Linked DNA regions of Saccharomyces cerevisiae S288C. The gene in region 2 interacts genetically with the main gene of each other region. Each region holds a gene or a part of one and is shown on either strand. Other genes may lie near its edges.

The links.
Region 1: mutations in IES4 (region 2) and IES5 together harm fitness more than expected from each alone (negative genetic interaction), as found in Saccharomyces cerevisiae (4 studies listed by BioGRID).
Region 3: mutations in IES4 (region 2) and IES3 together harm fitness more than expected from each alone (negative genetic interaction), as found in Saccharomyces cerevisiae (3 studies listed by BioGRID).

What each region holds. Positions count from the first base shown.
Region 1 is NC_001137.3:340,910-343,860, forward strand, and holds IES5 (Ies5p), read left to right. Parts: upstream 1-1,945; coding exon 1,946-2,323; downstream 2,324-2,951. Other genes in the region: MET6 (5-methyltetrahydropteroyltriglutamate-homocysteine S-methyltransferase), read right to left, coding at 1-1,258; TORC2 complex subunit TSC11, read right to left, coding at 2,411-2,951.
Region 2 is NC_001147.6:687,770-690,586, forward strand, and holds IES4 (Ies4p), read left to right. Parts: upstream 1-1,854; coding exon 1,855-2,205; downstream 2,206-2,817. Other genes in the region: MSB1 (Msb1p), read left to right, coding at 1-1,411.
Region 3 is NC_001144.5:245,099-248,473, forward strand, and holds IES3 (Ies3p), read left to right. Parts: upstream 1-2,102; coding exon 2,103-2,855; downstream 2,856-3,375. Other genes in the region: MLO50 (Mlo50p), read right to left, coding at 1-74; EMA19 (Ema19p), read right to left, coding at 489-974; FCF2 (Fcf2p), read right to left, coding at 1,226-1,879; NRS1 (Nrs1p), read right to left, coding at 3,002-3,328. UniProt on the Saccharomyces cerevisiae protein: Probably involved in transcription regulation via its interaction with the INO80 complex, a chromatin-remodeling complex.

The DNA.
Region 1 (2,951 bases), on a different chromosome or scaffold from region 2:
CTCTAGTAGACATTTTTTCGTCGATAGAGGCAACTCTGGCCTTAACGGCAGCATCGTGGATAAACTTGGATTTACCTCTGGATTCAACAGATTTAGCGTTAGCTTCTAGGGCAGCAGCAACGTCTTGACCGGAAACGTTCTTGGTGATCACAACAACTTCATCCAATTTTTGAGTGGCGAAAGAGAAAAAGCCCTTGATTTCAGCGTCCAACTTGGTTTCGTTGTTCAAATCAACTGGTGTGTGCAATAGAGAAGAAGAAGTGGCAACAACGACTCTGTCAGCACCCAACTTTTCAATAGCCTTGTTAACGATAGCGGAAGACTTCTTGAAATCATTCTTCCAAATGTTTCTACCATCAACAATACCAACGGACAAGGTTTGTTTGTTACCAATGGCGGCAACGACTTCATCAAATTGTTCTGGAGCTCTAACAAAGTCAACGTGTAAGGCAGCAACTGGCAAGCCCTTGATGGCGTCTAAGTTAGGGACAACGGTACCGAAGTAAGTAGCCAAAGTAATCTTTGGTAGATTGCTTTGTTCACCGAAGTAAGTGTAAGCCTTCTTAATGGCGGCTTGGGCGTTGGCAGGCAAGTCCAAAACTAAGACAGGTTCGTCAATTTGAACTTCAGTGGCACCAGCAGAAGCCAATTTAGATAGGATTTCAGTGTATAGAGGCAACAATTGTTCCAATAGGGACAATGGTTCCAAATCTAGAGAATCCTTGTCAGCCTTACCCAAGAATAAGTAAGAAACTGGACCCAACAAGACAGGTCTAGTATGAATACCTAACTCCTTGGCTTCCAAAAATTCGTCAACTGGCTTTTGGCCGTTCAACTTAAATTGAGTGGTCTTGGAGAAAGTTGGTCTAACGTAATGGTAGTTAGAGTCGAACCATTTAACCATTTCCAAAGCAGTGACGTCGACAGCCTTTTCAGTTTCAGTGGCCTTTCTTTGTAAACCTCTACCCATAGCAAACAAAGTGTCGATTGGAGATAGATCGTACTTAGTGTAACGGTCTGGAATGACATTGAACAACAAAGACAAATCCAAAACTTGGTCGTAAAAGGAGAAGTCATTGGATGGGATGATATCAACACCAGCCTCCTTTTGCAACTTCCAGTTTTGAGTTCTCAAATCCTTACCGACCTTGAATAATTCATCGACAGTGATTTTACCGTTCCAGTAACCTTCAGTGGCCTTCTTTAATTCTCTGTTTGGACCGATTCTTGGGAACCCTAAGACAGCAGATTGAACCATTTTTGATATGTACTTTGAAATTATATTGGTATTTTGTTTCTTAGAGTGTTGTCAATGCTCTTAGATGCTTGCTTTTTTATGATAAAGGAAGAGTTTAACAAAAATATTGAATACGTAAAAGAGAAACTAATGCTAGTAAAGATGGAAATATCTATCACTTATATAGAATTTTTTTTTCTTTCCTTTTTTTCTTTCGCAGTTGGGAAAACTAGCTAGCTTCCCTTAAATTAGTGCATCTATCGCATTTGTTCCATATTCACATTCACAGTTCTCAATTGAGCAGAACGAGCTATGACTACCACAGTTTTGCGACCGGGAGATAGAGCGAAAGAGCTGCCATGACTGCGATGACTCTAGCGAAAAATATTGGCCTTTTGCACGTTCGCGACTAAACGAGTTCGATAGTAGTCCCGTTTCTGGTTTTTTCCCTTTACCGGCCCACATTTTTTCACCTGACTCCGGTCCTGACGTACGACTCTGTTTGTAAGTCACGTGAAATATTTCCTGTGGCTTTTACTAGTAATGTGCACGTGATGTGGCGTGATGGTCCTTTACCCGGAGTGCGGGACCCTGGTTCATGAAAAATTGTGTGAAATCAACTGCATTTTTGGAAGCGAAAAAGATGATGAACCTGAGTTGAATGGCTGTGGGAAACCAATACTTGACTGATTATAAAACAAGAAAAAAATGCCTAGTAAAGATCCAGAGAGCGTTATAGACAAAGAAATACGGAAGATATCAGCAAGAAATGATGAGCTTATCAAACAGGATGGGACTCTAAAAAGGGAATACACTACATTATTGAGAAAAGTATCGAGCGTGATAACGGTACTGAACAGTATTGATGATGCAGATACTGGTTCTGCTGAAACGGAACTCCCACGCTTAATATCTCAAGCAACAGTAGAGAAAGTACCCGAATTGAAGTGGTACAATGATCAGATATCACTGATTACAGAAAAGTTGGAGGACGATGAAGATATTGAGGTTCCCGAGGAGCTAATGGATGCTTATACTCTGTACAAGGAAACCCCATTATTATATAATGATACGCACACACCATAACGGTTTTGTATGCTGTGGTGTAGGGAAGTGCCTGGGTCTATGGAATATTGTGACTATATACATTTATACATGCGGCCCTTTTTTGCTCTAACGTGTAAAATTAGCCGGCCTTTTGTCCCTTTTGTTGTCGTGCCTGATGACATTTTCAAGCGCTCTATTGTTAATAAATAGTCCGCAAAGAAACTTCCTAACATGTGGCTTAAACCGATACTTCGACATCATATTAAATACTTTGAAGAACATTTTCTCGTTTTCAAAAAGCCTTGGACCGTATTTATTGTTTATTTCTGTAATCTCCTTCACTGCGTGATTTGAAAGGATATGATTGCCTAGCTGACTTACTATATGTAGTACCTTGCTCTCGATGGAGTCATCGTCATTGCGGTATTGTGTAACATAGGGAGAAGAAAGGCCTTCGTTTGCGAAAAGACTACTATTTTCACCTGAAACAGTGATAGTTTGACTTGTGATATCGTTGTCGTATTTATTAGTAATGATTTTTTCATTTAATGGATTCTCTGCGGTATCTTTCTCTTTGAGTAGTTTGTCCAAATCAAATTCGATGGGTAAGCATTTTTCTATCAAGTCGCCATCGCTTTTATTAAAAACAATCATCTCATCAGAATAC
Region 2 (2,817 bases):
AAGAGCTACCGACTCAGCTATTGAAGAATTAAACGGTATGGTTGAAGAAATGATGATTAATGAGCCAGACGATGTAAAAATCTCCATAACTGAGGCAGAGACTTTCGAATCATTGACAAAGTTTGATCAATATAAGCCATCCAATATAACTGACGATGACTTACAAAGCAGCCATTCAAGCGCCGTTCACTCATTGAAGCTAAGTACAAATACAAATGATTCTTGCGCTGATAGTTCCAAATACACCGCTGATAGGAAATTAGCGGAACCTAGAAAGATTTCTGAGGAATCCAAAGTCAACGACGATTCATCATCATATTATTCTCCAAATATCAACAACTTGCCGGCATCAAGAATGCCTAGTCAACCCACTTATTCAAATTCGGATTCGAAAAAGGCATTTACGAATGAGTCTCGCCTGAACGTCTTACAAGGTGCAGTCAGTCCATCTCAACAGGTAACACCAAAACCATATAAAAATGCGCCTGGAGACTGTGTATCTCCTGTTCAGCAAAAATACTATCAGAACGATCGTAGAAATGAAATGTCGCCTGCAAGTGCACCAGTTCCACCTTCTGCATATTCACCTGCGAGGTCTCCACAATTCTCCACCAATTCGGCTGGATTCAAGCAGAACACGATTAATGTACCCGTTGGGTATAATGATCCTGCTCACGTTTTAGCAAATCAACCACATATGACATATCGGGACCAGCATAATTATCCATCTCACCAACAAAAACAACGTCCCTTCCAAAACAATATTGTGCCCCCAGAACTAAAGTCCAGAAATCAACGGGCAGATGCTTCACCTATTCCCCAACATATGGTGCCAGTAAAACAAGGTGTGCCCAATCTTCCATCTAACGTTCCATTATATCAACAAATGGAACGAATGAACCCTAACCACCAGCACCCTGTAAATACTTACAAGGTAACTCAGCCGCCGTATCATAATAACACAACAAATGCTTATGGGAACAGCCGGGCAGGCAATGCTCATATGTTAGATGGAAAGTGGAGCAATAATCCGCCGCAAATGGTACCAAAGGGAGTTCGCCCCAATCAATATCCACAGCAGCACGTTAATAGGTATTCACCGCAAGCTCAACCTGTCGTACCTGCGGAATACTACAATGGACCTCCACCTATGCGAGCACCTCCAATGATGTCCCATATGGTACCAGCTCAGGAGCCGATACGTTACACAGCTGGTGCTAACAGGCGTAGTTTTCCCCAAGGCATGCAGCAGAATGCCTATTCCGTACCCGCTCAGCCTATGGGGGCTGTAAATAGTGAATTTTACCTACCAGAAGCTCCTCAGGGAAACAAACTGCATGGAAATATTAACAAAAGACAGGAGAGAAAGAAGCTATATGATAACATTAGAAGCGGAAATTTCGGCATATAGAAACACTTTGTATCTGAAATTATCATCTTTATGAAATCTCAACAGTTGTAAAATTTCCCGAATATTTATACATATATATGTGTATGTAATTACAAGTATTTAGGACAATAAGGAGAGATTTAAGTCTACTACATAATTTTTAACTCCTACAAATGGCAGGTTACGTTGAGTAAGAATATAACATTTTATTTTCCATATTCAACATCATATGCATTTTATCATCTCATCCTCTTAGTCACTAATTTTTCTAACGCTCATAACAAAAGGTGCGTTACGCCGTCTAGAGCTTTTCTTGAACGTTAAAACTTTACCAAGCAGTTGACGGGTAATCATTCTCATAATCCAAGTAATTTTAAAGATATCAACAAAATGTACTATAATGCCAACACATTCTTTACTTATATTGGCCGGAAGATAAATCCAATTTCTCGAGTAATTGTGGTATGTCCCAAGAAAGTAGTGTTTTATCAGAATCGCAAGAACAACTAGCCAATAACCCTAAAATAGAGGATACAAGCCCTCCCTCTGCCAATTCGAGAGATAATAGCAAACCTGTACTTCCGTGGGATTACAAGAATAAAGCCATAGAGATCAAGAGCTTCAGTGGTTATAAGGTAAATTTCACCGGCTGGATAAGAAGAGACGTAAGAGAAGAACGTCAAAGGGGAAGCGAGTTTACTGCATCTGACGTTAAAGGATCAGATGACAAAGCTACAAGGAAAAAAGAACCAGCAGATGAGGATCCTGAAGTAAAACAACTTGAAAAAGAAGGAGAGGATGGACTGGACTCATAAGGTAATGTCAACAGCTTAAAGTTGTTCTCAGGGCCCCACACTTTCTAGTTTGGCACGTCATTTATGAAATTCACAAATTGGTTACATTAAGTACTAAATCTGGTAGCCGACCAAAAAAGAACAACAAATATACAATTGTATGAGTAAATATGCAATATAAATCAAATGTATTTAGTTAAAGGGCCAGAAGTAAGGCTACAGACTGTAAAAGAAAATTAGATGGAAACCCTCTTCAGGAAAAAAGGACATTATAAAAGATACAGCCAAGAAGTGGGCGTTTATAAAACAATTATATAACATGACCGTCGATTATATTCTGACAGGAATGGCGACGATTGCATCGTTATATTTCATTTCATTCCCAACTCAACGATACTGGTATCAAAAAGCCTCTCTGTTCATTATTTGTCCCACTACAAGCGACTCTCTTATTTTTGGCGGTCTCTGCCAGCTTAAGAAAAAGCGGTTACCAAACGACACTAAAAGAAGCGGCGCGTCTGGTTCATTAGAAATTTGTCAGTAATGCTGTCAATCTTTGTGTAAAAAGTCTTTCCATCAGTTGCCACCCCTTTTGTAGCAACTTCCATGCGTAGAACAACCTCACATTCATTA
Region 3 (3,375 bases), on a different chromosome or scaffold from region 2:
CTTGTTATTCTATGCCTGCTATGGAATAGCCGCTGACTGGGTGGTACGTACTCGTGCATGATATTATTAACCATGAGTTGTAGCTGTTTTGTTATATCCAAAGAATTTGGCTAACGTATCCTTGTACGCGTGATTTATTTATATATACGTGCAGCACAATATATATATATATATATATGTATGCGTGCGCTTGGTTATGGCTCAGTAAAGCGAAAGTAACGGAATAAGCGAGGGAAGGGGGATCTAGCGATGAGGGAATGGCAGTAACAGACTGTTCCCTTACAATACACTCTTGCTAAATTACATCAAGGATAATATACTATTTTAAAACAAAAACCAGCCATTTCCCTAAGGACGCGAAACTTTTGTGACGCGTTTCAAATAAAAAAGAATACTGCAAAACGCAGCACAATAATTAGATAAAACTAGTGGCATATGTCACTAATTAACTATATAGTCACTAATACTGTATATATAGCCGACACAGGCTACACAAAACACAAACGCAAAGGAATTAGGAATGTAGGTAGGTACACCGAGGCTAACTGACACTTCTGGGTCATGGACAAGCTTGTTTTTAGCACATCGTAAGGAATGTAACCACGCTTGAAAATAACAACGATACATATCAAGGTAGTTAGAGAGGCATTCCAGCCATAGATACGCAACCACTTTTTCAATCTGCTATTTGTATTAACTTGTAATTCGCTTGAATTCCAGAATTTATTGACGAAATAGACGAAAAGGGGTAGTTGCAGAACTAGCTCAAGGACTACAAACCAGTATAGCCATTCTGGTTTCTCTGATAGCAGGAAATCGTGTTGCTTTGCGATGTGATCACTAACAACCTTTTGCGCAATCCCTAGTTGCCATTTAGCGGGAATAACCACTGATGAGTCGATGAATATGGTGATGGGAATGTGAACGATGAAGTACCACAAGTAGAATTGTTGCTCACGATGTCCTAGCTTCATTATCTCCGGTCGCTTTTCTCTATATGTTTTCACGTGAGTGGCTCGTTTCTCGTACTTATTTGCTGCGGTTGTTCCTTTTATACCTACTAATTCGTATCCTGTACAAAAGCCGATAATTCTTTACTATGTTTTCAAAGGTTTTTTTTTTTTAAACGATATGCAAATTATTAATTCTTTTGAATATTTCTATGTAATCTAAACCACTTTACAATATACTATATGGAATACGTGGCGAAGAAAATTCCATTATCTCACCTCCGCTTCTTTCTCATCTCTTTCATTTTCTTGTAATGTGCCTTCCTACCGCTCGTAGATTTCTCCTGAATTTCGTTGTATTTACGCTTGAAATACTTATTAGAAGCTTCATCACCCATGAGTGTTTCCAAAATAGTCGACTTTCTTTCCTTCCTGTTCATACGACTACTATAAAACTCACTCTTGTCTTCAATTATGGTACCAATAGCAAACCTCTCTGGCACCTCCCAACGTTGCTTCTTATAATGTCTCTTTGGATCAAGAGCAGCTCTATGTTTAATCAGCAATAAATCTCGTTGAACTTCACGACGCATGTTATCATCTGGCTTTGGTAAGGTAAACCAGTCATTATCGTTTTTGTCGCTCTTGTTGGGTTTTCTTTTATCTTCTGTCTCCACACTAGGCAAGACGTTCTTCTTCTTCTTCTTGTTTGCTAAAGCATCAAATCCGGTTTCTAACTTAGGAAGCTTCTTAAGATTAGTTTCGATCTCTTGAAATTTACTTTCAATTTCTACTTCATCATCATTATTGCCTATCTGCAAAACATCCTCTTGTTGAAGAGAAACTTGTTCCTTCGCTGAATTTTTTACTTCTAGACTGGCACTAGCATCTCTTAGTGCTCCAAATAAGTCTTCCACACTTTGATCCATGTTTAACAGCTCCTTTCTCACGTCCTCTTTAATTGGAAAACTTGACGTCTCATCGCATTTTCTATTTCTTTTCTATCTTCTGTTTTAATATGCTGAAAAATTTTTAGGCCGGCACTAACCACGAATTATGATAAAAGAGAAGGATGTTTAGAGAAAAGGTTTTCGTGTGAAAGGGGGAATTGCGTTGTTAACTGACATAGCTGTCTTCAATGGAATCATAACAATGAAGTTCGAAGACCTCTTGGCAACCAATAAACAGGTGCAGTTTGCTCATGCAGCTACTCAACATTACAAAAGTGTCAAAACTCCAGATTTCTTGGAGAAAGACCCACATCACAAAAAATTTCATAACGCAGATGGCTTGAATCAACAAGGTTCTTCGACCCCATCTACAGCTACCGATGCAAATGCCGCCTCAACTGCTTCCACTCACACAAACACCACGACATTCAAAAGACACATTGTTGCCGTGGATGACATATCGAAAATGAACTATGAAATGATAAAGAATTCTCCAGGGAATGTAATAACGAACGCTAACCAAGATGAGATAGATATAAGCACCCTCAAGACAAGGTTGTACAAGGACAATCTTTACGCTATGAATGACAACTTTTTACAAGCTGTCAATGACCAAATTGTAACATTAAATGCAGCGGAGCAGGACCAAGAAACTGAGGACCCTGACTTATCAGATGATGAAAAAATTGATATACTGACCAAAATCCAAGAGAACTTGCTTGAAGAGTACCAAAAACTTTCACAGAAAGAAAGAAAGTGGTTTATATTGAAAGAACTACTGTTGGATGCAAATGTAGAACTCGATTTGTTCAGTAATCGTGGCAGGAAGGCAAGCCATCCAATCGCATTCGGAGCAGTAGCCATACCAACGAACGTCAATGCGAATTCACTAGCATTTAACAGAACCAAGAGAAGAAAAATTAATAAGAACGGCCTTTTGGAAAACATTCTTTAAGCCAAGATTAACATAAGACAAGTTTGCAAAATCCCCAACTTCACTTCCATATGCATATTCATTTAGGTATATATCGTATATTTGAGAAAAATTCATATATGAAACGTTATTAAAACATGAAAAATAGAATGTGTTATCGGGCTTAACTATATTCTGCCATTCAATGCGTGTTTCTTGACCATCTCTCGCACTACCTCTGACGGTACATAGAATGGGTTATGCTTCTTTGTCTTTTTCGTGTGCTCATATTGTCTTTGGTTCTCGAACTCAACCTCCTGGGTTAAATTTATATTAAAGAACAAGAAATCCTCTATGCTATCATTATTATCTTGAGATTCCATCTCAAATAGTTCAGAAAATCCGGTGTTCCCGAGGTCATCGTATTGCAATTTTTGTTTGTCTACCTCATTACTCAAATTGCTATTGGAGGTGCTTTTGATAGCATCACTACATTTATTATGAAGCATATCCATTAACTCCGTCCTGAGTTGTTCCGACGTGTGTCAACAAAAGGATTTAC